4 linked regions of the Rhinolophus ferrumequinum genome follow. The protein of the gene in region 3 purifies or fractionates together with the protein of the main gene of each other region. This does not show direct contact. Links are inferred from orthologs where the notes say so. Each region holds a gene or a part of one and is shown on either strand. Other genes may lie near its edges.

What was found.
Region 1: the proteins of STIP1 (region 3) and HNRNPDL fractionate together in Homo sapiens (co-fractionation; 3 studies listed by BioGRID, with this or other methods). This does not show direct contact. The link is inferred for Rhinolophus ferrumequinum from reciprocal best matches to the Homo sapiens genes STIP1 and HNRNPDL.
Region 2: the proteins of STIP1 (region 3) and CCDC117 purify together in Homo sapiens (affinity purification with mass spectrometry; 5 studies listed by BioGRID and IntAct, counting the BioPlex papers as one, with this or other methods). This does not show direct contact. The link is inferred for Rhinolophus ferrumequinum from reciprocal best matches to the Homo sapiens genes STIP1 and CCDC117.
Region 4: the proteins of STIP1 (region 3) and DNAJB6 purify together in Homo sapiens (affinity purification with mass spectrometry; 3 studies listed by BioGRID and IntAct, with this or other methods). This does not show direct contact. The link is inferred for Rhinolophus ferrumequinum from reciprocal best matches to the Homo sapiens genes STIP1 and DNAJB6.

The regions. Positions count from the first base shown.
Region 1 is NC_046288.1:37,427,721-37,436,084, reverse strand, and holds the start of HNRNPDL (heterogeneous nuclear ribonucleoprotein D-like), read left to right. Parts: upstream 1-5,243; 5' UTR 5,244-5,434; coding exon 5,435-5,877; intron 5,878-6,655; coding exon 6,656-6,824; intron 6,825-6,930; coding exon 6,931-7,092; intron 7,093-7,578; coding exon 7,579-7,710; intron 7,711-7,853; coding exon 7,854-7,968; intron 7,969-8,364. UniProt on the Homo sapiens protein: Acts as a transcriptional regulator. Promotes transcription repression. Promotes transcription activation in differentiated myotubes. Binds to double- and single-stranded DNA sequences. Binds to the transcription suppressor CATR sequence of the COX5B promoter.
Region 2 is NC_046308.1:18,339,916-18,347,673, reverse strand, and holds the start of CCDC117 (coiled-coil domain-containing protein 117), read right to left. Parts: upstream 3,046-7,758; 5' UTR 2,878-3,045; coding exon 2,696-2,877; intron 2,014-2,695; coding exon 1,963-2,013; intron 1-1,962. UniProt on the Homo sapiens protein: Facilitates DNA repair, cell cycle progression, and cell proliferation through its interaction with CIAO2B.
Region 3 is NC_046294.1:7,220,084-7,228,141, forward strand, and holds the start of STIP1 (stress-induced-phosphoprotein 1), read right to left. Parts: upstream 3,381-8,058; 5' UTR 3,253-3,380; coding exon 3,244-3,252; intron 344-3,243; coding exon 134-343; intron 1-133. UniProt on the Homo sapiens protein: Acts as a co-chaperone for HSP90AA1. Mediates the association of the molecular chaperones HSPA8/HSC70 and HSP90.
Region 4 is NC_046309.1:769,529-777,121, forward strand, and holds the start of DNAJB6 (dnaJ homolog subfamily B member 6), read right to left. Parts: upstream 3,251-7,593; 5' UTR 3,098-3,250; intron 1-3,097. UniProt on the Homo sapiens protein: Has a stimulatory effect on the ATPase activity of HSP70 in a dose-dependent and time-dependent manner and hence acts as a co-chaperone of HSP70. Plays an indispensable role in the organization of KRT8/KRT18 filaments.

The sequences.
Region 1 (8,364 bases), on a different chromosome or scaffold from region 3:
ATTTTGGAGATCTGTCAGAAATTTTCAGGTCTCTTATTCTGCTTTCCTACAAATATACCTTCTTATTATTTGTCCTCTAAGAAAGGTGCTTTTGCTTTATAGTTCAGTTCTGGAAGACGATTTGCCAAAGCTGGGGAATGCTTTGGTGTCTACCAGGCATATTTCATTATTGTGCTTTCGTTTGTATAAAGCTTGACTGATCCATAATCAACGTAGCTAACTTCTGAGAGGTTTTGGTTCTGTTAATGAAGTCATACCTTCTCTAACTCATCTCTCTTGCTTGGTCTACCTTATCTCAAACAAGTCATTAGACAAGAACAACACTAACAGGCCGAGGCATAGGCCGAGCTTACAAATTCCTGTAAAGCCTAACTACTCCAAGTGTGGTCTGTGGACTAGCAGCATCGGCATCACCTGGGAGCCTTTGAGAAATTCACGGAAAACCTGTTAGATATCAAGTCCCATTCCAGATCTCCTGAGTCAGAAACTACATTTTAGCAAGATCTCTAGCTGATTTGTATAAACATTAAAGTCTGAGAAGCAGATATAAAGAGCCATTCATTGGCAAGGGTACCCACCATGCCCCACTAAATATATTTTAGGGACAAATATCCTAATCAGATTTATGTTTGGTTAATGCAAGCTTAATTATTACAAAGATTTTATTTCAAGCACGAAAAGTTTTCGTGAGGAATAAATGACAAACATGCCTCCCCACCTCCACTACTTCTTGACAAGATTTGGTGGGATGGTGGATGAAATACTGATGTAAGTATATTTATTTCTTTTATAAAGTTTTTTCAGGAGCTAAGCATTCATTAAATGTTCATAGTAGCCTTATGAGTCGATATCCCCAGAGTACAACTGAGGAAATACTTACCGAGACACAGAGACGTTAACTAACTTGCCAAAAGTCACATAGGGAGGAGCCAGAATGCTAATCCAGACTTGCAGTCTCCAAGACCATCCTTGTAAATACTACTCTATACAGTCAATCCTCATTACTTGCAGATTCCATATTTGCAAATTCTAGTCACTAAAATTTATTTGTAACCCCCAATCACCAATACTCGCTGCAATGTGACGATCAATTCAAGAACAAGTGCGTGTGCAGACTGGCAAAATTTTGAAACACCAGATGTACATATTCCCAGTACAAGGTAATGCTTTTCCTGTTTTACCTCTCATATTTTAAACAAGTGTCTTTTTCAGAATCTATTTAGTACCAAATTTTTCATATTTTGTGCTTTTTGTTCGTAATTTTGCAGTTTAAAATTGGCCAAGCAAAGCGCTGAAGCCCTATCTAGTGTTCTTAAGTGCCAGAAAGCTTTGATGTGCCTTATGGAGAAAATATGTGTTAAATAAGCTTCATTTAAGGATAAGTTACAGTGTTATTGGCTGTGAGTCCAATGTTAATTAACCAAGAATATATTAAATAAGGTAAACAGAAACACACATAAAACAAGGCTATGTATCGATCAGTTGATGAAAATGTTGTGACCACAGGCTCACAGGAACCTAACTATATTTGTTCTAGGGGCAAGGATTCAGTATTTGCTCACATGGTATTCTCAGTGACTTTATGGAACATTACTGAAACTGTTGTTACATGTACCAACTTGACATGTAACAACAGGAAAGCCACCAAATTTAGAGCATTTTGAGGAACAAGAGATCATTTTCCCTCAAACTCAGAAACAGCAGTTTAAGGTTCCTGACAGGATAACCACAGGGACTGATGATGGTATTATTTCATAGCTTACAGACTAAAAACATTAGAATACAATGTACAAAGTCAAAAAATGAATATTACATCACCAAAGACAAAATTCAAGAGGTGGCTCCATAGAGTACATACTATACCCCCAGGACGTGCAAATGAATCAGTGAGGTAAGAAAAGAGTACTAACATTCATCTATACTTATTATTTTAATGTCATCTTTAAATTCTATTTTGTAACTTAACAGTACAATAATATGTGTACACAATTTCTAAATTCTAATGGTAGTGCCGGCTTCAGTTCTGTTGACGGCACACATGACCAAAAATTGTTGGGAGATCACCACTGTAGACAATCAGAGTCAGTACATGAAAAGAAAATAAACTCCAGGGGCATGTGTCCTGCAGTGAGGGACAGGGCTGGTGGCTTTGAGGACTCAGGTGCACTGGGACCACCTAAGAAAATCTGGGTTCTTCTGCTGCTCTGCCCCCAAGTTGTGATGATCCTCATACAGGAAATCCCTCCAGACATCAATTGACTCATCAGAAAAACTAATTATCTGGTTGCAACTTTCACTAGACAATCCCAGCTAGGAGCCCATCCTGCACTAGTAATTTGACAATTCTATGACTCAGAAAAAGACATAATAGCTGGTAAGTAAAACCATTGTATGTTGTTGCCTGGAGTCTAAGGACTGAGTACAACAGACTGTCCACAAAATACTACTTCCCAGACTGGGAGGATTGTATGGAATCCTATGAGATCTTAGACTGTCAGTGTTATCATATATAGTTAGGCTGCATCATATACACATTTAACTGTAAGTTCTCGACAGAGAGCGAGAGAGAGAGAAACAAAAAACAAAAAACCATGACCAGTGCTAGCAATCTGTCTGCCATTCCATTAAACGAGGGTGTTCTGTTCCCTGGGACAGTCTCAGTTCCCCTGTGTCTCTTACAGTGTGAGTGGCTCAGTGTGAGGCTCATGTTTGACACAACATATTTTTCATTTACATCACCTAAACATAAACTTTTATACTTCCTCTGGTGTTCAAGGAAAAAAGCAGGGATTGTTTCAATCCTAAAGGAAAAATGGTTGCATATGACTTAACTTAAAGGTGAAAATCGGCCTCCAAAGAAGACTGATTTGCTAAGGGTATTACAATGGCAATTTTTGACATTAATCTTCATAGTATACATCGACTATTGAATCAAATCCCCAAATAAAATAAGACTCAACTGTAGTTTTTCTGGTTCACTTCTAAACCTATCACCAAGAAACTGAAATTTGTTCCCATATACTTTTATGGTACTTCATATTGATTAAAGTGTTCTCTTATCAACTGAGTCATTTAACATACCTAGCAGCAAAGCAAAGACACAACAAGCACTGTGGTTCCCATTTCCGAGATCCAGTGCAATAATGGAAAGAGTAAGGTTTTTGTCAGGCAATTTGGGTTCAAATCCTGGGCATTGTTCAATTTTTCAGGGCATTGTCCTATCAGTAAAATACGCACATATCACAGTTTTTGAGGATAAGTCAAGTGTACAAGTGGCATGTATACAGTACTCAGTGTTTCCTTTCACCATTCCACAGGAAACAGGCTACAAGGTGACACATCTAATGTGACTAATTCCCAATTCCCTGCTCCACGATCGGAGGTTAAAGAATATAACTTAGCATCTCTTTAAAAGGTGTTCAAAGATATACTCTGCTAAAAGTTTTTTTAAGTAAATTTGTGAAATGCTACTCTCTGGAAGACTCACAAAGCATATATGTGTGCATGTGTATGAGATTGACTCTGAGAAGCCGTGCAATAAACCTGAACATGTACAGAACATTTCCCAAAAGTGCATTTAATACCGAATCCTTTCTTGCATAATTACTGTAAACATCCACACAGACCCAATGTTCTTCTGAGCATACTTTTAGATGAGTATACTCTTTCAGTTACATTACTTTGATAAATTAACGTATAACAAGGTAATATTATACTATAGTTCTTAATAAAAATAATGAATAGATTATATGACAAGGCACAAGAAACCAGGGCTACCTGAAAATTCATCGTGACACTTCAGTCTTTCCATTTTGCCGGACTAGAAGCCGCAAGGATCTAGATCGCGGCCGCCGCCTAGCTAGGTCCGACCAAGCACCTGCGGGGCGGGGAGCGCCTACTTTACCTCTCCCGCGGCGGACCATCCCTCCTCTGCCTTTTTTCGCCACTACCTCCATCCCTTCCCAACCATCTGCATTTAACCAAGGATAGGGACGGGGGACAGTGAAGATGGTGCCATAAGAAAAAGCATCCCCGCAACCCGCCACAGCCTTTCTTCTTTCTCCTGTTCCACAGCGGGCGCAAAGCCACACCACCTCTCCTACCCCTCGTGTCTCTGGTGAAAGGTCTGCCAATACTTTTTTAAAATTATGTTTTTAAGCACAATTCCCTGCTCCCTTCCGCCCCTCACCTTCACGAAAGCAATCGGGGTTGTGGTACCTTCGATATCTAACAGGATAACAGTGACTTCAGCGGGCACCGAAAGCACGACCATTTCCCTACCGGATGCTACCACCGGAATCGGCCTACTGGTAGGGAGGGTAGAGGGCGGTGCCTATTGCGCCCTGCACTGTCCTGGGATTCCGACAGCTCCGCAAGAATCTCGCAGCGTGCAACCGGGTGCGGCTTGAAGCACGAGGGGAAGAGGCCACTTCCACGCCCCTGAAAGTGGAGAAGGCGACCACACAAGGGACCTGAACTCGGAAGCTGCCCAGAACCTGAGGCCGAGACCACGTGGGCAGGGAAAGGGGCGGAACTTGCGGGGCTCCGAGAGGGCGGGAGGAGGTAAAGGCGCCGACACCGATTGGCCGCCAGAGGGCCTCGAACCCGATCCGTCAAAATGGGCATCGCGTGGGCGGGAACAAAGAAGCGAACGCGGGAGCCTGGTGCGCGGGAGCGCGCTCTCCGCAGACTGGTTGAGCGAGCGGGAGAGGCCCGGGGCACGTGCAGACGGGAGCCCCGCGAGTGGCGCGCCGGGGATGTGAGTGCCCCTTGCCGTCTACGGCACCTAGCCCCCTCCCCGCCCACTGCCCCCGCTTTTGCATATTTACAGTAATCTGACCGGGCCTGCGCCCCTCCTCCCGTCCTAAGCCATCAAGAGGCCGTACGGGGTCCTGGCTGGCCTGACTGCGTTGGCCCAGGTTCCGGCCGATCGGCCAGAGAGGCTCGCCGCGCCCTCTCGGCCCGCGCGCCTGTGGCGGTAGCGGAAGAGGAGTCGGCGCCGCGCCGCTGCCCGGAGGGGCTGCCGCGCGCCCGCTTCCTGTTCGGCTGGTTCCAGCCAGCTCGAGGACAAAACACGCGTGCGCGCGGCGGACTGGCAGGCGCGCTCGCTGCCTCAGCCGCGGGTGCCGGGCGCAGTCCGCCTTTTTCTGGAGCAACCCGGCCACGGTGCTAAACGATAACAGCCGCCGCACCAGCTCCGCACTAGGGGACCGAGGGCGGAAAAAGGCGGGGTTGACGGCTCTTTGCTAGGAGTGGGCTGGACCGGACGCCAGAGACAAAGGCTCTCCAGGCAAGAGGGACTCGGCCCTGCGACGGCGTTGCTCGGGATTTTTGACCCAGGACTTTTCGCTCCTTCGTTTTTCTCTTCTGACGCTTTTCTTATCCCAACCCGCGCCCCCTCACCCGCGACCTCGCTCCTCACCGGAGGGCCGCGATGGAGGTCCCGCCCCGGCTTTCCCATGTGCCGCCGCCATTGTTCCCCTCCGCTCCCGCTACTTTAGCCTCCCGTAGCCTCTCCCATTGGCGGCCGCGGGCGCCGCGACAGCTCGCCCCGCTCCTCCCTTCACTCGCTCCCAGCTCCGCGCGGCAGGGGGCGCGCCGGGCCCAGCGCCACGTCACTGCCCAGCAGCCCTCCCGATTGGCGGGCGGGGCAGCTATAAAGGGAGGGCGCAGGCGGCGCCCGGATCTCTTCCGCCGCCATTTTAAATCCAGCTCCATACAACGCTCAGCCGCCGCTGCTGCCGCGACTCGGACTGCGCGCCAGCACCCCCCGGCCGACAACTCCGCCACTATGGAGGACATGAACGAGTATAGCAACATAGAGGAATTCGCAGAGGGATCCAAGATCAACGCAAGCAAAAATCAGCAGGATGACGGGTACCGCACGCTTGTCCCCTCTCCCCCTCCCCCAGCGCGCTGCGCGCGCTCTTCGTCCTTCGAGTACCGCGCGCTGCGCACATGCTTGCCCCGAGTAGATTTCCCGCGTGCTATCAGCCTCACTAGCTTGGAGAAAAGAAAGTAGGAGTCGGAGGGGGGTGACTCGAGAGGCCCGCGGAAGGTGGGGGAAGGGCGGAGGAGTTGGAAGCGGAGGGCGGTGGCGTCTGTGTCCCGAGTGCGCAGGCGCTGCGTGGGGCCGAGGGGGAGGGGCCGGCCTCGCTGCGCCACATGCTGCAGCTGCCGCCGCCTCTTCATTGTGTCCCTGTTACGGCCCCGCGCAGTTTTCCTGGAGAGTTTGGAGCTTTTGGTTTGGAAACCAGTAGTGTTCACTGGTGTCCAGTACCTCAGGACGCGTTATGATGAGTTCTTTAGGTGGAACGTTGGCTTGACAGCTGAGGAAGAGAGTGACCTAAGTTGTGAAAGATTCGTTTAGGAAGTTGGATTTGTAAACTAAAATGTTTAACGTATATTGTTAGCCTTGTTGAAACTTTGCTTTATGCAGTGTGGAGAGCAAGCTGTTAACTGTTTTGAATAAGTGGCTGCGATGGAATTTTGGGATTTTTGTGGTCTTGATGTAATGTATCTGAAAACATGGATTAAATGACTTGGGCATAGGGGTTAAACTTCCCCGTATTATTTCATAGTTAAACATAATACCAGAACTGGAGTAATCGTTTGAGCTGCTGCTAACCTTTTTAAAAAAATAACTTATTTCTAGTAAAATGTTTATTGGAGGCTTGAGCTGGGACACAAGCAAGAAAGATCTGACTGAATATTTGTCTCGATTTGGGGAAGTTGTAGACTGCACAATTAAAACAGATCCAGTCACCGGAAGATCAAGAGGATTTGGATTTGTGCTTTTTAAAGATGCTGCTAGTGTTGATAAGGTAGGAACGGTGTTTTGCGTTGTGCTGCTTCTGTGTGCTTTTTTTTGCAAATTGTTCCATGGGTTGGTTGTACAGTGCTGTCAGATTAAATAAATCTGTCTTCCAGGTTTTGGAACTGAAGGAACACAAACTGGATGGCAAATTGATAGACCCCAAAAGGGCCAAAGCTTTAAAAGGAAAGGAACCTCCCAAAAAGGTTTTTGTGGGTGGATTGAGCCCAGACACTTCTGAAGAACAAATTAAAGAATATTTTGGAGCATTTGGAGAGGTGCGCTGTGTGGCTGTTCATATTTTGTATTTGATGTGTTTATGTAATGTTCATCCCTGGTCCACTTCTTACAGAACAAATGCATATATCAGGTGAAGGTGGTAGTAAATTATTGCTCAGGTTCCTTCCAGCCATCACGGTTTAATCACTTCTTTCTGTGCTGTAATGGAAACCAATATTTAATTTATTTTGGCCATAACATGGGTGCTTTGGTGTAGTCAGTGTTTGAACTTATTAACTAGTGGCATTTATTGGGTATGAAATGATAATAAAGGAAGTTTTGCTCTCTCTAAATGCTTAACATAAAACAAACTAAGCTAGTTTGATGTTATTAAAACAGTAGTCTATACAAACAGTAGTCTATACAGAAGTCATCTGATTAGAATAACGTTATGGCGAAGCTTGAAAAGGCCCTGTGGGAGTCTAAAACCTTTTGGTAGCTTCTTACCATTACTGGATGGTCTTGAGTGTTCATCTTGATTTCAGATTGAAAATATTGAACTTCCCATGGACACAAAAACAAATGAAAGAAGAGGATTTTGTTTTATCACATACACAGATGAAGAGCCAGTAAAGAAATTGTTAGAAAGCAGATACCATCAAATTGGTTCTGGGAAGGTAAAGCTGTTTTATATATTAAATGGAAATTTTGAATTTGTTTTTATTGGTGAAAGAATTTCTCAAATCTGTTTTGAGAATAAAATGGCTTAACTTCAGAACTTTAGTAACAATTTTGTTTGCTGTTTAAAATTTGTTTATAGTGTGAAATCAAAGTTGCACAACCCAAAGAGGTATATAGGCAGCAACAGCAACAACAAAAAGGAGGAAGAGGTGCTGCAGCTGGTGGACGAGGTGGTACTAGGGGTCGTGGCCGAGGTGAGACTTAATTCTTGGCAAATAACTTGGTGTAAGCTGTAAGTTGCTAAATAATAAGCCCATAAGAAAGTAAAACCAAATTTAAGTTGTTTCAATGTGGAAAGTGCTCAGTGGGTGGGTTTTCGTGTTTGAGTTTACTGGTTTCACTTCTTCAAAGAATGGCCACTGACTGTCATCACTGAGGGAAAATAATAGCATTAAATGTAGTTAAGATTACATGGTATACCTTGTAATAAGTTTTCTTGGACAGTACTTATTTTAAAGTTAGACAGTCTACCTGTCTTCACCTTTGTCTTGATTTTCCAGTAAATTGAGAAAGCCTGATAACTGGCACAGTTGGACTTTCTACCCCTTTTTTAGACAATCAGATAGCAGTATAGGTGTCCATTCTGCCTT
Region 2 (7,758 bases), on a different chromosome or scaffold from region 3:
CCACAGCTAAGACTCAAAAGACAACTTGAAGCTGACTGGCACCCTCCACAACTAAGATTAAAAGGACAACAACTTGACTTGGGAAAAAAGTCCTGGAAGTACACTCTGTTCCCCCAATAAAGTCCTGTTCCCCTTCCCCAATAAAATCTTAAAAAAAAAAAATCATATGCTCATAAAAATACATACAATTTAATGAATAATTGCAAAACACACATCCATGAAAATAACCTTCAAGATAGGCTGTCACTTTCCCAAAATGGTCCTCTGTTCCCTCTTCCCTACAGGTAAACAGTCTCTTATGGTAATTACTTCCTTTTTAAAAAGAATACATTATCACACACACAAACATGCATCCCTAAACAATGTTTAGCTTTGCCTGGTTTTGAACCTTATAGTTAGGGAATTATATTGTATACATTTTACCATTAAGGGACATTTGCATTGTTTCCAGTGTTGAGCTATTATGAGAAGGACGCTATGAACTTTCTTGTATGTGTCCCCTGATATGTGCATGTACATACTCAGAAGGGGAACTGGTTAATGTTAAATGGTACTTGTTAAATGGTACATGTGCTTTCAACTTATTAGATAATTCCAAACTGTTTCCCAAAGTGCTTGTACCAATTTACATTCTCATTCATAGTGTTTGAGAGTTCCTGGTGCTCCATGACCGATCCAGTGTCTACTGGTAGAGTAGTATCTCATTGTGGCTTTAATGTCCACTTCCCTAAAGACTGCTAAGGTGGAACATCTTTTCATTTGGCTGGTCAACTGGATATTCTCTTTGGGGAACTGTTTCACTCATTTTTTTCACAGAGTGCTTCTCTGAGATGCAATTTTTTTACCTATGAATTAAGTCAAAAGTTTCAAAATACAGTTCTGGTGAGAAGATGGAAAACCAGGTGGCAGCCCAGTGGCTCAGGCAGTTGGAGCGCTGTGCTCCGCCGCTGGTTTGATTCCCCCATGGGCCAGTGAGCTGCGCCCTCTACAGTTAAGATTGTGAACAATGGCTCTCACTGGAGCTGGGCTGTGATGAACAGCTGGAGGTCAGTGTGGGCTTCTGTGGGCTGCTATGAACGACTGACCAACGACTGGCAACCGACTGCCTCAGCCGGGGGGAGTGCAAGGCTCAGAATACCAGCATGGGCCAGGGTGCTGCGCCTTACAACTAGACTGAGAGACAATGGCTTAAAAACCGAGGGGGGGGGATTAGAGGCAAAAAAAAAAAAAAGAAAAACTGGCATTCCCACTGTTAAAAGGAGTACATAACTGGGCAACAACTCTTGCATACATTTTTAAAGAATCCATTAACCTATTTGCAAATATATACAAAGAACAAGAATGGTCATGGTAGATTTGTTAGTAAAAGATTAGAAATAGCTCAGAAATCCATCAATAGGAGACTGGTTAATAAAAGATATCTAGCCTTACAACAGAATTCTGTTCAATTGTTGAAAAATAAATTACGTAGAACACTATGTGCCTATATGCAACAGGCTATACAGGAAAGTAAAATGAGAAGATCAATATATTGCACAGTGTGAAGAGTATCTTCTTACAAACGTGAAAAAACCAGAGGTATACACAATTATAAGCTTGTAAGTTTTTAAATGAACTTCCACAGGAGAAATAGGAAACAGGTTGAACAGGGGTTACTTCTGGAGTGTAAGACTTTTCAATATACATCCTTTTACACATTTGGAATTCTTTTACTTTGTGCATGTAATAATATTCACATGGCTCAACATTCAAACTTTACAATCGGGTATAGAGTGAAGTTTCCGAACTGACCTGCCAGCCACCCCGCTACTTTCTCTAAAAGATAACCAATGTTATCAGTTCCTTGTGCCTCCTTTCAGAGACACCTAACGTCTCATCTTTTCACTTAAAACAAATAGTCGAGAATGTAAAATAGGTTACATTAAGTGACCATAAAGTGAATAAATGGCACCTGAAACTTACTCATCATCCTCCTGCTCTAGCTTGTGTTTCTTTTTACAGGGAACTGAAACACTGTTGAAATAAACAAAAAAGAAGTTAATTGAGAAATTTACTGAGCTTGTGCTTTCAGCATTCACTCTGTCATGCTCCAATAAGCTTGCCCAACTACAGGTACCCACCCAGCTATCCCTTTCCTTGTCGAGTGGGGCGGATATACAGGTCACAAGGTCAGTCAGGTAAACGGTGGGTGGTTATGACCTAACTAGAGATTGAAATCTAAACTCATTCTGTCGCGGTAATGGGAGATAAATTTGGGGAGGCTCACGTAGGGAAAACGTTTTCGAGGCACTGTGCTAACCCACTTTATTTCCAAGGTCTCTAGGAGAACCCATTTCTGTCCCACTTTGCGGGAAAAAAGCTGAGTGTCCGACAAGCATTCAAAGTTGCTCCCACCAGCGGTCGCACCGTGCCCGTTGGGGGAACCAGGCGTGTATGCGCTGAGAGGACGTCCAGGCTCCAGTCGGCCAGGGTTCCAATCCCGACCCCACCTGGACGAGCTGAGGTAAGTCTCCTCACTTCTAGGAGGCGCAGGAGGGCTGAGGTCCGAACCGGACTCCCGGGCTGTGCGACCTCCGGCGACTTACAGTTAAGGTCTCTGGGGATCAGTTTCCACATCTGTAGACTGGGGCTGAGAAGCCTCCCGCGTCCGTCCGCCCGGCCCGCCCCGCGTCGGCACGCCCGCCCGGCTCCTCACCGTCCGCGAGCGGCGCTCCCGTCGGGGCTGCTCTGGGCGGCGCGGGGTTCCGGCCGCGGGGCCAGCTCGGCGCCGTCCGCCCCCGGCGGGAAGGCCCGACCGGCTAAGGCCGGAGGCGACTGCAGCAAGTCCGAGCCTCCGCTTAGGGGGAGACCGCTGAACGGCCGGCCGAGCGCGGCCATGGCCGGGGAAACGAGGAGTTCGTACCCGCGGCCCCGGCCACCCACGTCCCCGGGCCCGGCAGCTGCGGCCACAGCGACTGCTGAAGCGTCCACCTCTGAGCCCGCTCTTGACCTCACGTCACGCCTTCTAGAACCCTCCACTCCGGGCCGCCCAGGGGCACGCCGGGATTTGTTGTGTGTGGAGAGGCCCCTGCTGCAAGGAATGCCGGGAGTGGCAGTCCTTACAGACTACAAACAAGATGGCTACCTCGCCTTAGTTTAGACTGCTAAAGCTTGAGGATGGTTCTATCGGGCCTTGAATATATTCTAAGTTCGAATCCTCTGTAGTAAAATCCGATAATAATAGTGCCTATCTTCATGGGGTTGATGGGAGAAGTAAATGAATTAAATATCTAACGCCCTTAGAACACTGCTTGGCACATAATACACATTCATTAAATATCAGCTAGTATTAATTCCTTCTATGTTTTACTATAAATGAAGTGGGTGATGCCTCTGAGGGAACAGCATGGAGGATCAGTAAATACCTCAGAGAACTTGTGAGAAGCCTTTCAGCTGCTGCCTGGGGCATCAGAGACACAGGCTTGCCAGAGGGGCTAGCAGAGTTTGTCAACTCCAACCACAGATCATGCCTCATTTTTCCCTTCTCAGGTAATAGTACCATGATCCAGTCCGAGTTGCTTGTGCCAACGTCAAAGCCCTTCAGCCAAAGACCTATAAAGATCTACAATTGAACTAAGATGTGTTTTATTGACCTCTTGCAGTGAGGGAGGGTCTTAGTAAGGGGGTGTTCGAAAAAGGTTTTTATAGAATATGGGCTGTGTTAGGTGATTTGGCAGAAGGTTCAAAGCAGCAGAGCTTCGCTCTGGAATTAATACTGTCAGTAAGCACGGATAATTCTGACTGGGTATCATAGTCAATCTTTTCTAGAAGGTGGGAGGAATGAAGCGAGGCTAAACCTGTAATTGGTAAGGAAGCAAATGGTCTTCGTATTAACCAGGATAGGGGATATTTGGTCACTTGTGGTTTGGACAATGTTCATTTTTGTCTGCATTCAGACATGATTATGAAGTAGTCTTGTTTTAGCTCGATCCATCGAACTCACATCTTGGTCCTTGTTTAATGTTGACATTCTGCGAAATTGTTTAACAGGAAGAAACCAAGTCCAACCAGATACCAGTGCAATTTCAGCTGTCAGGAGATGCTTTCCTCTTTCTAACCAAAAACCAAAGCATCATTGATGCCTCTTTTTTGTTCACCACTGTATTTTATCAGTTAGCAAGTCCTATGGGCTTCATTTGTGGAATGTTTCCAGATTCTCTTCATCTTTCTCCATTTCTATTGCCCTCACAATGGTCTAAGAAAATGACTGAATCCCCTTTGCCTAATGTAATATAATGTATTAGGTTGAAGTTTTCTTAGTGGCATTTACCATCCAGTTTTGTCTCCCTAAGGGAACACCCTACTTATTGCAACTGGATATACAATGTAGTCTCCTGAGTCATTTCTACAAATGGCCACCTCATTCCTCAAATGAAAAAAATATACACATATAAATATATATTTATAAAAAGGGAATCCTACTCTATATGTTATTCTGAAACTTCTACCTAATTATATTTCTTGAATGTCTATCCAGATTCATTCTTTCATTCTTTAATTCACAATTCTATACCAGGTTGCATACTAGGCAATGTACTAGAATTAATAATGTATTAGGTACTTCCTATTTGCAAGTATTCCTCACATACTTCAAGTATTCCTCACAGGAACTCTAAATCGGATGATTTTATTACCTGCATTTTACAGATAAGGAAACTGAGGTAATTTGTGATTCCCCCATTCCCTCAGCTATAAGTGAAGGAGTTCTACCCCATGTCTGAGACTTTCGATCCTGCCCTAGATTGCTAGGCTTTGCTCTATCTTACTGAATTCCCTGAAAGAAACTAGTTTAGAGGAATCGAGGAAAGTCTTACTATAGTGTGTCTGAGAGAGATTCCTTGGGGCTTCAGACCCTGGAAGCAAAAGACAGGATTATTGTGCAGTTTCCTACACTAGACGGGGGAGAATGGCTCTAGAACTTGATAGCGGCCACTTTACACATCTCTTCTCGGTGACAGTACAGGCCTGCCTCTTTGAGGTGACCTCCAGCTTATCTCTCATGGGATTGGTGGGACATAGACATACACTGAGACATTCCCTTCCTGAGTCCTTTCTCCTGTGGCTAATCTTGAAAAACAAATGAAAAAACCCACAATGTTTTCTGGTTATAAAACAAACAGGTTCTTAGTAGAAAATTAGTGGAGGTGGTGATAAAAGTATAGAGAAGCAAATAAAAATTGCCTTAATTCCATCCTGCAGGAAGCTCCACTGTCATGAATATTCTTTCAGTCTTTTTTCTTATTTGTGTATGTGTACACGCACCTGTCTGTGTGCTAGTGTATAATACACACATAAGAGCTCTTCATTTTCTCATTTTGCTCTCACAACTAGACCACAGGTACTCATATATCTCTATATAAAAATAATAAAACTAAAGCTTAGGATAAATAATGTATCTACATAATTAATAGTCATTCGTTAATAGGGTTTAGCAAGAAACAACCTTGTCAGGATGTTAATACAAAATTATTAGGCTTCATCCCCTCTGAAAAAAAGGCACCAAACAAAACTGTTGATGGCAATGACCCATGAGGGTTGGGGTTATCAGAATTTGCACTTTCTGGGGATAAAGTTTAAGCTCCCCCCACCCCCCGGGAATATGTACTGCTTTGTAGTCAGATAAAGAGGATAAATGTTTTTGAAATAAACATGTCCAATATGATAAGGTACAATGGACTGAATATTTGTGTCCCTCCCTCCATCCCCCAATTCATATGTGAAAATCCTAACCCCCAGTTAAGAGGTGAGGCCTCTGAGAGGTGATTAGGTCATGAGGGCAGTAAGCCCAAAGAACTCCCTTGCCCCTTCCACCATGCGAAAGAGACCCCAAAGAGCTCCCTTGCCCCTTCCACCATGAGAAACACACAGCAAAAAGATGGCCATCTAAGAACTAAAAAAGGGGCTATCACCAAACACTGAATATACTGGTGTCTTGATCTCGGACTTCCCAGCCTCTAGAACTGGGAGAAATAATTTCTGTTGTTTATACCACTCCGTCTATGATATTTGTTGTAGCAGCCCAAACGGACTAAGACACGAGGTTAAAAACAAGAAGTCAAAAGAAGCCATCGAGACCAGCAGCAGCAAGCATGTATTGAGTACTCACTATGTAGCAGGCACTGTACTAAGTGTAGTACTTCATATCCTCTCCACCGTAACACTCCACTACTATATTGTCACCATTTTGCAGCATAAGAAACTAAGATTCAAGGAGGTGAAGGCCTCGTCTTAAGGTCAGACAGTTAGGAATGATGGTTCTGGAAAGATTTGACTGATTCAAAAGCCAGAGATATCATCACTGTTTGCCATAAACAAAGAGAAACGTTCTTTCGTGCTGAGCACCCACAAAATTCATATTCAAGGGAAGAGCCCTGATTAGTCACGTTTCTCCAGAGAAACGGAACCAGTAGAATATATATAGAGAGATAGATGTAGGAGATCTATTATAGGAATTGACTCACATGGTTATGGAGGCCAAGAAATCCCACCATCTGCTGTCTGTAAGCTAGAGAATCAGGAAAGCCAATGATGTAATTCAGGCCTGTGAATCAGAGGGCTGATGGTATAAGTCCCTATTTGAGTCCAAAAGCCTGACAACTAGGACCACTGATGTCCAAAGGCGAATGTCCCAGCTCTAGCAGGAAGAGAGAACCAATTCACCCTTTCTCTGCCTTTTTGTTCTTTTTGGACCCTCAATGGATTGGATAAGGCACCCCCATCCGAGGGCCATCTGCTTCACTCAGTTTCCCAATTCAAATGTTAATCTCTTCCAGAAACATCCTTACAGACACCTTCAGAAATAATGTTTTACTAGCTACCTGGGCATCCCTTAGCCTAGTCAAATTGACACATAAAACTAACCATCACAATTCCTAAAGCACTAATGCTCATATTTAAAAAATGGCAACAACCACTATTGTCAAGGGTGGAGTGAAACCTGCAAATTAAGATGTTGCTAATGAAATTCCAAATAGGGGAGCACCTTTTCAGAAACAGCATACCAATACTTTTATCAGATCATAAAAATATTGGTGTATTATGTCTATAGGTATGAAAAAAATGTTTATGTATGAGGACAAAAAGGGGGATGTAATATGTAAATAGGAAATACTGTGTTAGGACATGGGAGTTTTTCATGATTATTTTAAAGCGAATCCCAGAAACATTTTTTTCTAAATGCTTTAGTGTTTATCTCTAATAAATACTTTTTCAAAAAACAAAAAATAACCTCAATGCTTTAGCATACCTGACAAAATTAAGAATAATTCTTCAAAATCATATAATCTGTATTCATATTTTTCCAAGTGCTCCCGAATGTTTTTATTGTTGGTTTGATAGCATCATGATTCAACATTGCTTTAGGTTTGCCTGTCTCTTGAGTCTCCTTTATCTAGGTCCCCTGTTTGCTTTTTTTCCTTGTTAATTATTTGTTGACTCACTAGGAGATCTGGACATTGGCATTGGCATTGTGAGCCCTGATGGTGGCGATGAGGCATCTTACATGGCTTCTCAGGTCAACATCAACAAGGGAGCCTGGAGCAGAAGGGGAAGAACATAGCAGATACAGCTACCTGCTTGGTAAGCATAGTCCCAGTGGGTGGCAGCTTCCTCATGTAAGCAAATAGAATTTTGCAGAACAGGAATATCAGTATTACCATGACCCCATCCATTTTCTTTTGCCTGCTGGAGCCTCCTAGCTGGTCTCCCTGCTTCACTACA
Region 3 (8,058 bases):
ACTTGGTGGACCATAAACTATTAGTCTACTGGAATGGGCAACCAGCCAGGTCAGGAGGGCCTAATCCTTAAGAACTGCACACCAAAAGGCATTTCTGGCAAGTCTGAAGAGCCCCAACTTAGCCCCAGCTTACCTTGCCCCAGTCAGGCTTTAAGTCAACCGTTTTGCAACCATCCTCATAAGCCTTTTGGTAGTCTCCTTTCTTGGCATAGGCCGCTGAGCGATTGCTGTAGAGGACATGGTTCTGGGGATCTAACTTAATTGCTTCAGAGTAGCACTGTAACGCATCGTCGATGTTGCCAGCGCTCAGGGCCTTATTGCCCTTCTCTTTTAGCTCATTTACCTGAGGAAAAAAGGAGCCAATCTAGTTTACTTCCACAACATGCTTATTTAGTCCCAGCTTTTTAGGTGATGCTCATTCTTTGCTGCAGTTATCGACAAATAGGTTACTTTACAGATCAGAAGAGAGAAATCATAGATTAATTCATTTACATTTCCCACACCTTTGGGAACCAGCAAGGAACAAGTAAAATCACCAGGCAGAAGAAGCCTGATACTCTCCTTTCCCCTGGCTCTCGTGTGGATTACTAGGAGCCCCAGCCACTCTTCCAAATGTCCACTTTGAGTTGATGAAACCTCTAGAGCACACTCATGAGTTCCTGTCATAGCAAAATAAATTCATTTGACATAGGTTTCCAAAGAGTCCAAATGATAAACTGAGCACAGACCTGATCACTCCCTACAGGAAAAAGCCATCAGGATGTTCTTACACGGTCAAAAAAGAATCTATGTATTTTCATTTACAGGTGTGGTAATATGTCACAACATAGCAGATTAGTGCCCTGCTCCTTAATGGTAAAGGAAAGCTGGCCCCCCCACCCCAAATCAGGTTCTGACGTGCTTAAGTGTTAATATATTGCAAAGGAAATGAAGAATGAAAAAATACTATTTGCAGTTTAATCCCTTATCCTTTCCAACATTCAGAATGCAAGAAGCAGGAACACACCAAAGCATTTAGAAAAGTGACGCGGGCCTTGGCCATCAGAATAGGGTCCTAATTAAAGGGGTTTCTAATCAGGGATGCCCTATGAGAGGGAGGGCCACACCTCAAATGCAAACACATCCAGAGATCAAGCTATGCCATTCAAGTTACTGCATCATTCTTTTTTTTTTATCAGCCACCCATGACCCAGTATACTGATGCAAGAAAGAACTCTTAAGAGAAAATTATTTTGGAGCCCTGAGGCACACCAATCGGGAACCTCCATCAGAGAGATCTTGAAAAGAACCCTCGAAGTCAAAAACGGCAGGAGATTGCCAAATTCAAGCAAATAAGGGATAAAAATCTTAAGAGTTCAGGATGGAAGTCAGAAGGCAAGAAGTGTAAAAACTCAACTAGTAACAAGAGACAGTTGAGAACAACTCAGTAAAGTTCCTGCCTGTCCTATAGAACATCATTTTCCAAACTGAGTACAGTAAGTCAGGAAATCAAGTTTGTAGATTATGACCAGCACTTCAGAAGATCAAATGGAATAGAAAAATATCAGTGTGTAATACACGTAACAGTATCCTTTTGTTAAAAACATGTCATACACTTGTACATATGTACTGGGTCAAATGTAAGAAGTGAATCACTGTGGGATTTATCTTAAAGGTACTGCACTTGTTTAACAAAAAAATACAGTTTTGGACACTCTAATTTGTCCAATTTGAATATTCCCTAAAGCTGAAATGTGAATCTCAGAGTTGAAAATGAAAACAAAATGTAAAGAAATCACACGTTTCTTTTCAGGAACGGGTTTAAGACAGTATATTCTCACACCTGGTCATCTGTACAAATGCCAGGTCATCTGTACAACTGCCATGGTAAAGCTGCAGTCCTGGGTTTAGTTTTGACATTCATTTAAAGTCTACCTGTAAACACACTTCCATAATGGGTGTGTGATTTCTTCTTTCAAAAAAAGTTTTTCTGGTATTTTGTTAACTGCAGGAAAAAAGCATTCTTAAATTTAACGATGTGTTTCTTGTTCCATAAATCTTTTTCTCATCTATACTACAGCCTATTTAATCCCAGATACAATTTAAATTACAAGGGCTCAAAAAAATTGAACTTCTCCATTCCACTCTCATGTTTTTTTAATTTAGCAGAGGCTCCAAATTTGACCAAAAGAACAATGGCTATCCTAACAGTAAAAGGTTCAGCTTTATCCCCCCAAAATGAGCCTTTTTCTCTCCCCCACCCCAGATCGATCATTACAGTTCAATGACAGCTTCCAACTGAATCAAACCACTCTAAGCCTTTCACAACCTTCGAGCCACTGAGGTATAATTAAGTCATTCAAAGCAACCAGCAGCAGCAGCTTCAAACTCGGCCCCTCTAAAATACTGAGCAAAGGCAAATAACTGACTTCTTGCTGTTCATCTATAGTCTAAATTTTCTACAGCGACTAAGTCCTCCTTGTGTAATTAGAAACCGACCTTTCAGAAGTGTCTGTCCTCAGTTACTCTAGAAACACACACACACAAGGAGAAAAAAAAGAGGGAGAAGGTTGCAAATAAATTTGTGAAACACTGGTGGAGGGAATAGATTCCAAAGACTTTTGCTGCACCCTCTCCTTTCCGGCATCAGGCAAAGTCGTCGGCCTGCTACTCTTCACACCTTCACTCAACACTCTTCCATGCCGGTTTTCAGAAGCAGCAAAATAGTATTTCCCCCAACTGGCTAAGTGCCTCAGCTACTTCCAGTGTATTCCCGTCCCCGCTGCCTGCATTCCTCCAAGTTAACTGTGGCCAAGTCCTGGGTGGCTTCTACGTCGGCAGTCTCATCTATCTCCCAGAAAGCGAATTCCTTGACGTGCACCCGATCACTCGCGCCTCTTCTGAGGTCCCTCGCCTACCTCCTTCCCCCCGACTTAGCCCGGAGCCACCTTCCGGGAGGCCTGCGGGACCCAGCCACCGCGCCTCTTCCCGCCGAGGGCCGGACTCACGCCCAACTGTCGTCTAACCCGGGGCCGAGTCGAGAGGTGAACGGCGTGGAGTGAACCCGACGTTCCCGGCGGCCGGGCCTCGCTCCACCGCTCACCCGCCGGCCAGTCACGGCCCTCGCACCCTCGCCTCCGTCGCTGCTCCGCCCGTCCGAGCTCCCAGTCCCAATCGGGCACCCGCCCCGCCCCTCCAACCATCGCCTGGCCTTGGCCGGTCAGCGAGCGGCCCTGGGTCCTCAGCCTGCCCCTCCCCCTTCACCTGCTCCATAGCCGGCCCGGTACTCCGTTGAATAGACTCCGTCCGCTACGCGTTCCCAACTGCACACGCCGCCTTCTGGAACCTACTAGAAGCTGCCGGGACCCCCGGATCCCGCCCCTTCCTCGCCTGCTCACTGGTCGGGCTCTTCTAGGGGCTTTCTGTGCTTCTCTACTATTGGCTTTAAGTCTAGTCCATCATCTTTGCTTCTCTCTCATTGGGCAGCTGCGCCTCGGGATTGGGCGCTTTCCGACAGGCCCCGCCCATCCCAGGCTCTACGATTGGAGGGAGGGGCGGAGATCTGAGACAGGAATTGGTTGCTTGCTCCGCCAGTCGTGGCCGTGCTGGCTGCGCCCATTGGTCCTGTTCTTTCTGGAAATTTCCACTTTTCCCATTGGGCTGGCGGACTCTATGACGGAAACTCCTTCAGATAAGAAAAATTTCAATTGGGCGGAGATTTGCCAACACTCTGCGCTGATAGGTGTAAATCACTGCCCTTCAAAGGGCAGTGTGGGGTTTATGGGAGTTCGAGGCCACGATCACCCGCTGCACAGTTTGCTCCCGCGGCTGCGGGGCGGTCGACTGCTTCTCTCTTTCATCTGCTGTGGTCCTGCGGAGGATTCACTCCTCCTCAGCGGCAGAAAGCTTCGGTCTCGCCCGTGCGGCGGGCTCGGGGGGTTCTCAGCCGGTGGGGGTGACTGTCTGGGTTGGCTTCAAGAGAGCTCCCTGGTCCGTCCCCGGATCCCTGCTGTTCGATTCTGAATGTGGAAAAATACCGTGCGTGGCGGTGAAGGCGATGGGGCTTGGCTAGGACAGACCCGGCATCTCACCTTGGCGGGGCCTGTGGCCCGCTGGGTCCCCTCAGTGGAGATGCATACCCTCTCTGAAATTCTCCAGTAAAGGGTTGGTAATTTGGGGCCGCGGAAGGGTTCATATTCATGAAGTATTTAGCGTTTAGTGAAAGGGAGCTACCACCTTTATACGGATGTCAAGGAAACAGATCTCAGTGTGGTGTTTGACTACCTCCTGGCCGGCGACGGCGGCCTGGGAGGGTCTTAAACCGCTGCCCAAAAGCGCGAGGCTGAACAGGCACCCGGAAAGAGGCGAAAAGGAAGGACTTAGATCATGAATGAGACGGCCTGCGGAATTAAAATGCTGATTTTCCACCTGGACCAGTGGGTGGTTTATGGAACAAAGGAGCCTCATAAGGGTCTGCAGAGAGCTTGCATGAGGGTCCTGGGCTCTCCTGTGTCCTTGTTCTTTCCCCTTTCTAGCTAATGCCATCCCTTCCCAGGGTTTTAAGTGCCCTACTGTATGCCAGTAGCTTCTCTGCACTGCATCCTTTTACATCCCACCTGTCTTTGATCCATTCTGGACACTGCAGGCAAAGCCAATGCGGATCCACAAGCCTGCTGGTTAGAATTTGGAGGCTTTAGATTGGGGCTCAAGGCCTGTCTAATCTGGCAGGACTACATTTGTCACCTCTTCTTTCCTGTCCTCCACTTTCAGCACCCAACTCCAGCCACTCTGACCTCTCTGTTCCTTGAACTAGGTGGGCTCCTTCACTCTGGGCCTGGCTGCAAGCTGCTCCCTCTCCTGGGATCACCCTTCCACCAACTCTGCCAGGGTAACGTCTCCAATGTCTGGCTGAGATGAGCTGTCAAGACATCTTGACAACCGGCCCCCAACAAGCACACTAATTTCTGTCCACTTGTGATTTGCTTTCACAGCACTGTGGACTATACATGTGTCCAATCACAAATCAAACCAGTGACTGGTACAGCACCACATTTTGTGAAGTCAAAGAGGGCCTTGTGTCTGTTTTCCTTTATCCTGTGTTCAAGGTGCATTGCATGCCTGGCACACAGCAGACATTCATTAATCCATCAAATATTATTGAACGTCCTATTATGTATTAGGTGTAATTGTGGGCAGTGGAGAAAATGCAGTGAACAAAACTGACAAAAATCACTGTTTTCATAGTGCTTGGTCTAGCAGGGAGACAAACTAAAAGTTGATATAGTGTATCTGCTTAAGTGCAGTGGAGGAAAATAAATCAGGGAAAGGGTGCAAGTGGTGTTGGGTGACCAGGGCAAACTGTGAAAACCTAACATATGAGAAAAAACCTGAGGGAATGAGATTCATGAAAAGTCTAGAGAAGAACCTTGCATCAGAGGGAATAGCAAAAGCAAAGGCCCTGGAGTGGGCACTGCCCTGGGGTGACCAGAATGGCAGGAGCAGGGAGAAAGTGGGAGAGCCAGAAGAACAGGAAGCAGGGACAAGGTCCTGCAGGTGGGAGGCAATTGTGTTCACTTTGGAACATGCTGGCAGGTTTTGAGCAGAAGAGTGACATGATCTGACTTCATTTTATCAGATCCCTCTAGTTGCTGTGTAGATGAAGAGTTGGGCAAGGGTAAAAGCTGGGAGACCTCTTAAGTGGCTGATGCAATAATCCAGGAGAGCTGTGATGGTGGCTGGGTCAGGGTGGGAGCAGAGGAGGGCTGAGGACTTGGATTCTGGATGCATTTTGGGGGGAGCTGACAGGATCTGTTGATGCATTGATTGCATCGCACGAAATATGGAGTCAAGGATGATTTCAAGGCTTTTGGCCTCTCTTATTCATCTGCTAAATTAAATCTGTCAACAAGACTTTTCCTTCTTGGCATTGTCTGCAGACCACCATACTTCTGTCAATCCCACTGCTGCCCCCCAGACCAACTCTTCCTTCCTCTCCAGTGGCTTTTGGAGGCCTTCTGTCATCTCCCCCACAGCCTGTCTCCAGGCTTCTTTCTCATTCCTCCCTCTCTATGACCTGGCCTTATCATCTCCCACAATCATTTTTTGTAGGCCTACTATGTTCAGTGCCCTACTCTGGGTACAGAGGCTCAACAGTGAACAAGGCAGCCCACAGACGCAGCTTTCGCTGCACGGATCTTGTCTTCTAGCGGGAGGGACAGATGATACTTAAACTCATCAGCTGTGTGACTTGAAGCAACCTACCTAACCTCTCTGCTTCAGTTTCTTCCATTTTAAAATGGGGATGAAAAAGTTTCAATGTCTGAGTAGTTATGAGGATTAAATGATTTGATATTTGTAAAACACTTGGAACAGTGCCTCATGACAGAGTAAGCACTATATGCATTTGTTAAATAAAAATAAGTGCATAAATGAAGATAATTCTAGAGTAGTGAGTGCTATAAAGAAAACAAAAGGCAAGGGATAGAAAATAACCAGGGAGGCAGGAAAGGAAGGCTTTCCTAGAGGTGGGTGGTTAGTGAAGGCCCTGTAGACTTGGAGTGGTGAGAAGCCAGCCAGGAAAAGGCTCCAGACATGGCAACAGATGGTGCAAAGGCCCTGAGGCTGAAACAAGTTTGGAATTTGCAAGGACTCAGACATGGCTTTTCTATGCTCTATGTCCTTGCCTGTAAAGGGATGATGAAGTGCCAATGACTTCCCGAAGTTACTGTGAGGATTAAACAAAATAACTCATGCTAGAGTCTTGTCAGACTGGAAACTTACAAAAATTTGAGATCTTTCTTTGAGGAAAGAAACATACAAATTAAGAAATGAGGTATGGAGTTTTGGAAGGGATACAAACAGGAGACCCTAAAGTTTAAGCTTACTCAGTGTCACAGTAAAGCCACTTCTGAACTAGTTCTTCATTCATAAATACTAGCTCTTATTACAATTTCCACTAACTTGGACTTCTCCATATTTCTCGGTGAACTCAGAGCCATCCTGAGTAGGCAGGGAGGCAGAGATATGGGCCGGCCAGTGTCCCCTTCCCCAGATCTCTGCAGCACAAGCAGCAGCTCCACTATAGAAGGCATCCTGGCCCATACGTTGCATGGCAGGTCAAGTGATTCATGCTGCTATTCTGGTACAGCTGCTCTCAGGGTGGGGAGCAAAATAGCGAGGGCTGTATTTGGAGTCCACTCAGGCATCCTGCAGCGAGTGACAGACTGAAGGGGTCAACGTGTAAGACCAAATTCTCTGCATAGCAAACTCCCAGTTTTAAAGTTCTCCCAATATCAGTAAAAATAAAACATCTGGACCTCAGGAATCTCAGCATGGCAGAGAGCAGTGGAGGTTAACATTTAATTTTGTCTTATGATTTTGTGGGTCAGGAATTTGAGCTTGAATTCTGGGGTCTGTAGAACATGGAATTTTTGTCTTTACAAGAACTTCTACTACTGGAATGGGAATTTGAGACAACCTGAGTTTCCTTCTCCAAGTAAGAGTGAATTTCCGTTCGGGTTCTGAGAAATTCCTAAAGAATATTTTCATTTCCCACTCCTGCTGACAGCATCTGAGTCCTGATTAGTGGGGAAAGCGTGGTGGGAAATAAAGTGCCATAGAATTCTGCTCAATTCAGTGAACTTGTCTGGAGAACCAGGCACTGTGCCAGAGGCTTCAAGGAATAAAACAGCGGTAATTATTATCCAATAATTATTCATCAGAGAGCCCCAGAGCCCAGCCCAGGACCTTGCCATCCAACACTGGGTGACCTCAGTCAGTCTCGTGGCTATAAATACCATTTCAAATGACTCCCATACTTCTATCTTTGGCTGAGATCTCACTCCCAATCCCAATTTCCAGACTTGTCCACCCAGATGCCTCCTTGATGTCTCACTTGGAAGGCTAATGGTCTTCCCAATGTGTTCAAGTCAGAGCTCCCTATATTCTCCCCCCAAGTTTTTCCTTCCTGGCTTTCCCTCTTCGTCAATGGCCTCACCATTCTTGGGCTGGTTCAGGCTGAAAACTTTGGAGGTGTCCTTGACTCTTTCACAACCACATCTAGTTCATCAACAAATCCTG
Region 4 (7,593 bases), on a different chromosome or scaffold from region 3:
CATAATAAAGAATGAAATCTTGCCATTTGTGGCATAAATGGACCTAAAGAGTATTATCTTAAGTGAAATAAGTCAAAGACAAACTGCCTGACTTCACTTATGTATAGAATCTAAAAAACAAATGAATAAACAGAAACAGACCCATAGATACAGAACTGATGGTTGGGGGGGGACAAAAAGAACCCTAAAATACCTCGAGTATTTGTACGTACGAATAGCCCCACTGCCTTACAACCATAAGCAATGGTGGCCATCGTTTTTCATTTAGAAAGGACAAAAACTTCCTCACAAACTCTGGATAACGTAAAAATTTTAAGAGAAAACCAAGCCATACCTAGGTAAGATATAGCTTTTGAAAAAAGGTACAAAGGATATAAAGAGACAACCTACTCTGCTTTGATATATGATGCAAACCTTAGAAACGTAACTACTCTCACTTTTTTTTTCAGGGCACAGCTCACAGTGGCCCATGCAGGCATAGAACAGGCAACCTTGGTGCTACCAGCACCACACTCCAACCAACTGAGGTAACCGGCCACTCCTTAACTACTTTTACAGAAATTAATTTTCCCTACCTTAAAAATAAGGTTTTTTAAAATGTACTTCTTCCTTAGGTAGGATGTTAAAATAAAAAGAGGTCAACTGTGATTTTTTTTAAAGTCCTCCTAAACATACAAAGTTTGGAAAAACCTTATATTCAAAATATAAATCCTCACATTTTTACTACCTGACTTATCCAGTAAGTCATTTCTCCAAGTAGACCTTAAAATTGTCTTTTGTTTCCTACATTATCATTTCTAGGACTATTCTTTTCTTCACCGACTTCAGTTTTCTTCTCATTTACCTCCCTTTTTTCGAGTTTCAAGTTCTCTCAAATTCTACTCATCAAAGAGAAACTACACTTGTTCAATCTTTTTACTGATCCCACTCTAATTCACTAATAAGCCTGCAGTTACCAGCCTTTCACCAGGAGGTGGTGTCCCGGACAAATTTAAATCTAACCACTTTTAATACCATCCTAAATTCTAGAATCACTTCCAAGGAAATGAGAAGACAAAAAGAAATAAACTTTTTTTAATCGATAGCACCTCAACTCCAAACACAAAGGCGTAGCGTATCCACTGACTCCTTACCAGCAGCCATCAGACGTGACGTGCTGGCCAGCTGGGCTAGCTGGCAAGCTCAGCGGCTGGGCTGACCTTTACCTCTAGCATGCAGGCAGGGGCACTCAGTGTCTCCCCAGTGGAAGGAAACCAGTCACACACACTAAGGTGACATGGTCAGGATTACACTGCAATCCCAAAAAAGCTGAACTAAAAATAATGTGCCAAATTTGAAAGTGCTCTCTAAAATTGTAAAAAATACATAGACCATCCCACCACAAACCTGGTTTTCTCGTTTGCTAGGATGTAAGCTGCCAGTGCTGGTAAAGGGCACAATTATTTGCTTGAAACTCTCCAAAATCAGAGTTATTACAAGAGGAAATGTTTGTTCTTGGTTGTCCCCTTGGTTCTCCCACTTAAAAATAATGGGCTTGCTCAGAGGAAAGGCATTGTGTGCACTTAGCTGCAGGCCATGGGACTTGAACCGCCTGTCCATAAATTTAGTCTTCCGAGTGTCACTCCAACTCTACTCCCCACCTGGCGGCCAGTACCTTTCTGTCCTGCAGCCAGAAACGCCTCCCAAGTCTACCCCTTTCAAATCCAAAACAAATGTGAAATACCGATATTCTTAAGAGTGCTGAACTCATCTCCAATTCTTTAAAGGCTCTTCAATTCCCAGCTTGCACCACGCTAAGCCTAGGTAGGCATATTCCAAAAACCAACTTCTCAACCCCATTTGTTCTCCTCCTACTTCCTGTCAAGTCATCCACACCTACAAACCACTACACCAAACCAATTTAGTCCCCAAATTCAGATTCCGCATAACCCAAAAATTCCACAGCTCATCAGACAGGATGCATAAACAGCACCCACCTTTTCATTCCACACCATACAAGTCCTAACCCCAAAGAACAGGTGAAGACTCTTACTGGAAACAAGAAAAGTTTGCATTAACCTTCCCAAAGAACCAGGGCCGGGGCAGACTGGGGAGATGGGGGCGACGGCAGTACATAATTCCTTCCAGCTACCACTAAAGCGTCTTCCACATTCACAATTATTAGGATAAGGGCGATTAAAGATTACGAACAATCAGCAAATAAGTTCAAATGGTTGAGGGTTTATTTTTCCCTTTTGGTCATTTTGGTCTAACCTTTCTACTAAATCAAATCCATCGCCTTAAAAGACTGTAGCCATAAAAATCTTACAACGAACCTACAACTGAAACAGAAACTCTGAAAACTGCAGGGAGCACCGCTCAGCCCACTCTTCTAGTGGCGTGATCCTTCCCCCGCGGCCACGTCCTTCCTGCAGTTTCTGGGAGAGAAGAGAGTCGGCACCGAGTTTCCGTCTCTGACCACGACAACCCCCACTACCTGCGAAAACCTTTTCCGAGACGCTAGTTTGCCATTTGCACTTCTTGCATGCTTTCCACACTTGGGCAAAAGGATCAACACTTCAGCTACACAAACCGCGGAACACCTTGAAGTAAAACAAAGCAAGTGGCTTTCTAAGTTAAGCTGCAAGCCAGGCATGTCGCTCATCAACCAACTTTGGAAAAATCTGCGGCGAGTCGTGGACGCGCGCCCTGTGCTCGGCGCCGCGACGCCACCTACCTGTTCTGCTTCGGGGCGGCCCACGAGGGCTTACGACGGCGCCAAGACCGACCAGCCTCTCAGGCCGCAGGCCGCGGCCGCTGGGAGCGGGACACGCCGAGCGAGCGAGCTCGGCCCGCGCCGGCGGGCCCGGGGAAGGGGCCCGGGGAGGCCGCCCGCCCGCCGCCCCGGCCGCACCCAACCGCCGGCGGGGCCGGGAAGAGACCCCCGAGGAGGGGGTGGCAGCGACGCGCCCCCGCCCCGCCCCACAGCACGGCCCGGCCCGGCGCCCGCCCTAGAGCCCCGGCCCCACTCCAGGCCCCAGCCCGCCGGCCCCGGCCCGCGGCCCCGCACCAGGCCCCCGGCCCGACCCCCACACGCTGCCGCCCGGGCGGCTCTCACCGAGGACGCGGGACCGGCAGCGGGAAGGCGCGGCGGGGTGGCGGCCCGGTCTCCTCGGCTCCTGCGCGGCGGCGCTGGTGACGGCGGCGGCTCCTCGCGCTTTCCTTTCTCCTTTTCTCCAACAACAAACAGGAAGTGCGTCACGCGGCGGCGCGTCCACTTCCGCCCAGTCGACGCTGCGCATGCGCCCCGCCCGCCCCCGCCTTCCCGAAGGTTCTGGGCGGCCGGGCCGAGCGCCGCGGGCCGAGCGCTGGTTCCGCGGCCCCGCACCCCGGGAGCGCGGGGGACGGGCACGCGGCTTCGAGCCGGTCGTCCGAGTTGTGCTGCCCCGGGCGTTAGGTTAGCGCGACTTGGATGTTCTGCCGCCTCCGCGCCTCTAGTGTCCCCACGGGTTCCGCGCGGGCGGTCCGCGCGGCGCGGGCGGGGGTGTGGTCGGACGACACGACCCCTGGCCCTGGAGAGGAGGCGGCGCCCTGGAAGCGGTCACCGGCCCCGGGAGGTCAGAGGGTGCTTGGCGGCCTCCGCGCGAAGGTCTCGGTGTCCGGCTCCTGCCCCGGCGTCTGCTGTCGCCCTTCGTGACCCCGAGCACGCTCGTGGGCGGCCTTCTCCCTTCCGGGAGGAAGTGTCCTGCCCGCTGCACGCACGCGGAGGGCTGCCATGTGCTGGGGCCGGGCCCTGACTCGGCCACCTTCTCGTCTAACAGCCCTTGCCGAGTTCTCGCTCATCTAAGCCCTTGACATACTTGGGGTGAAGACGCTGAACACCCCTTGTGTATAAAGGCTGACAATAACCTCATTCTCGGCGTCTGGGACCCAGAAGGAGCCATGGTTCTAATTTTCCCTACTTCAAAAGATTGCTCCCTACGGTGTACGCCTACAACTAGTACAACAACGTGTGTCAACCACAATTGCAAGCAACATTTTACACATTGCTTTATATTGTGTCTATTCATTTCTTGGGTTTCTTAAACACTCACTGTGTTACAGCACATAGTTTTTGACCACATAGCAAAAATTAAAAAAAAAGATTGTTTACCTGATCCTCTTTCGTGTAGTCGGTTTGATAAATGACTGCTGAAAAGTAAGGAATAACCATATTTGGTCTCAGTATGGACATCTCATGCTAAAACCTAAGACAATCTCAGAAGAGACTGGAATTTCATTCAGATATATGCACAGTTTGGATCTGGCACATGTAACCATATCTACCAGCAGGTTGATGGAGTTTTATTTCCCTTCCAGTGTTGACAGTGCTATCATGTGACATTTCACATTTAAAAAGTCCCTACAGCAAGTGTGAGCTAATCTTGAAATGCAGACAACAGAGACATGAACTTTAAATAGTAAGTGGTAGGCTAGCCACAAATAACTTCTTCCGCCCTCCAAAAAATATATACATATATTTATTAAAAACATCTGTCAGTGCAGTGAATTGTATCATGAGAAAAAAACAAGGTACCAGCCCTGATGAAAAGCACATGGTATACTGGGAGAACAGGAATAAATACCCTGAAAAATAACAGAAATATTTATGTAATATTTCACTCTTTGTGAAACAACCGAGAAAATCTTTCAAGATAAGATTAATCATTTATTCCAAAGTTAGTATCAGCCCAGATGGTGGTGCTACTGGAACGCTGGTTCAGAGGACGACCACTTCAAAATAGAAGAGCAAGTATTTACACTGAAGGGAACAAACGGCACTTGGAGAGGACCGAGGAGGCCAAGTGCAAAAGCAGACGGCCTAGGGAGAGTGAGCATGTCGGTTTGATGGAAGCAATCATTTTGAACCACGATAAAGAGAAACAAAGATGGACAAGCGCTGGGCCTGAGCAGAGGCCAAGGGCTTCACACGCTCTCTGTAGGCGAGGGAAGCCGAGCAGGGACACCGCTACGGTCTGCAGGAAGACGAGGAAGACTTGATGACTGTTCCCTCGCCTGTAAAATGGGGATAATGAGCTTGATGGGGCGGTTAATTGTATGTGCTTAGCTCCGTGCCTGGCACACAGTAATACACAGTAAATAATAGCTCTTCTGTGTCATGGCCTCTTCAAGAAACTGACAAGAGGTTCAGGCTTCTCCCCAGCAAAATGTGCAAGCGATCTGAATAAATCGGTAGACACACACGCACACTCACATGCCCACACCCTGCCAAGCCCATCCAGGAGTCCAGCAACCTCAGGTGAAGATCCTGAATGATAGTTTGGAAATTTTTATCAAACTGAAATTTGCCTTAGATCCAAGGATAACATTTACAGAATTTTGCCTTAAAACAATAAGTGCAATGTTAAAAAAGAGAGAGAGAAAACCACAGGCCCTGAATGGCATCACTTGTGCTAAGTCCCATGATATGAAACCTAGATTTTAATACCTGAGCTAATTCCTGTTTCCACCTGTCCCAGAAACGTAATCAACCACTCTGGAATTTTCGTTGTATGGGCCCTCTCCATCCCCCAACCCCTACTCCCTGGAAAGAACTGTCAATCTGCATGATAAAACTTGCCATCCCCTTCCCCCCTCCTTACTACCCACCCCCCAAGATGAAGTCCTGATCTAGAAAGAATCCTTTCTTTTCTTCTGCTCACAGCTTCCTTGCCCCCTGAGCTTCTTCGTATAAAAAACCTTCGATTTTGTGCTGGCTGGAGCGCCCTTCTAGTTTTTAGATAGGAGGCTGCCTAATTCATGAATGGCTTGATAAACCCAATTAGATCTTCAAATTTACTCCATTTATTTTTTTCAACAGCAGGAATGAAGGAAAAAAAAGTATAATACTTACAAGGTGATGGATAACTTTGCAGATAAGCAGTTCCTCCTTACCAGAAAATACCATACAGGCCACAAATATAATAATGCAGTTACGCTTGTTGACATCAAATATATCCAAGATGCATTACTGAGACGGTGGGTATAGTGATCCTGTTTTTGTAAAATTGTATTCACTGTGTGTCCCATGGGTGCATACATACGTGTATGTGAAATAATTTTCTCTGTCCCGTCTGAGTTCTTGGCTGAGACGCCCTATAATAAATGACAGATAAATAAAGGAGAAAAACAAATAGAAGTTCAGTACCATGAACAGCTCATGTGCACAGGGAGAGACCCAGGAACACTTAGGAAGCTCCAGGAGGTAGCAGAAGCCACCACCTTCAGTAGCATCTTCAGGTAAAGACGACAGATGTTGGGTGAGGGATCCTGCTATCAGGACAAGCAAGATAAACAGTTAGGTGGTTTTGCAGACATCAGTCCCCTTCCTTCTCCAGTGATAAGTTTCTTGGAATTCAGAATCACCCTCCACTTCCTGGCACTGAGGGAGACACACTTACAAATGGAGATTTCCCTCGACAGGCAAATTTCCCTGACAAAGGGGTAAACTTCCGCTAGGTTTCAGCGCTTCTCCTGCCTCTGCAGTTCCTCAGAAATCATTGGCTCAAAGTAACCCTTATGCCAAAGAGGTACATTCTGCTACTTAACACAAACACAGGAAACGGGGAGAACACTCAGCTTGAAAACCTAGTCAAATGAACACATGAAAGCCCTTCACCTCCATTCATCAATTGCTACCACGTTTCCCACAGCTTTATCTCTGTGACCATTTGAAAGCAAGTTAGCTATCGTGACACTTCACCCCTGAATATTGTAGCACGCCTCACGGAAGAATAAGGAAAGTTTCCTACATAATCTCAATACTATCATCCCTCGTAAGAAAACCAGCATTTATTCACTAATACAGTATGATATGTATTTGAGGGGGAGCAGCATATGCCACCCCAAAACATGTCATTTTTGGCATGTGGATTCTTTTGAGCTGAAGGCAATGAAGGCCCAGCAGATTCAGGAAAAGCTTTTCTTTATCCCTTAACTGCCTAAAAGAATTTAGGTAGGGGGCCATGCGAGGAAGAGAGCAATCACCACATATCACTCCACATAACTTTTCACACGGGAAAGACTTATTGGCGGGGCGCGGCAAACACCTGTTACCCGCATGCTCTTCCCACCTTCCTGTGATTGACCTCCCCGCTCTGGATCCGCAGACCCCGCCCTCCCCCTCCTTAGCTCCCACGGTTCTTAGCCTCAGTGATCTGACTGCCCGGGAGTCTCATATTAAAAGACACAATACAGGAACATCACTGATGGTTTATCAGACATGAGGAAATCAGAAACACTGACATTGTTGGACAAACAGGAAATCCCATTTAGGACAGCCATACTTCCAGACTGCAAATAAGGACAGGCCTTGTTTTTCTTCATCGGGTACTTTTTCTTTCTTCAGGAGTAAAAATAGTTTCAAAGTAGGAAAATCCTGGCAATTATGTTGTTCATTCATAAGAAATGAAATCATAATGTTCTCATAGTTACTTTGCCCGTGGGGCCAAGCAGTTCTCTGTCCAGTTAAGGAAAATGTAATAATGGCTGTCATTCTGCCTGGTTCCAGCGATCCACATCAGGCTTACCTGGCAGACAGGAAGCCACCGCCCTCCCCAGCTCTCACTGGGGCAG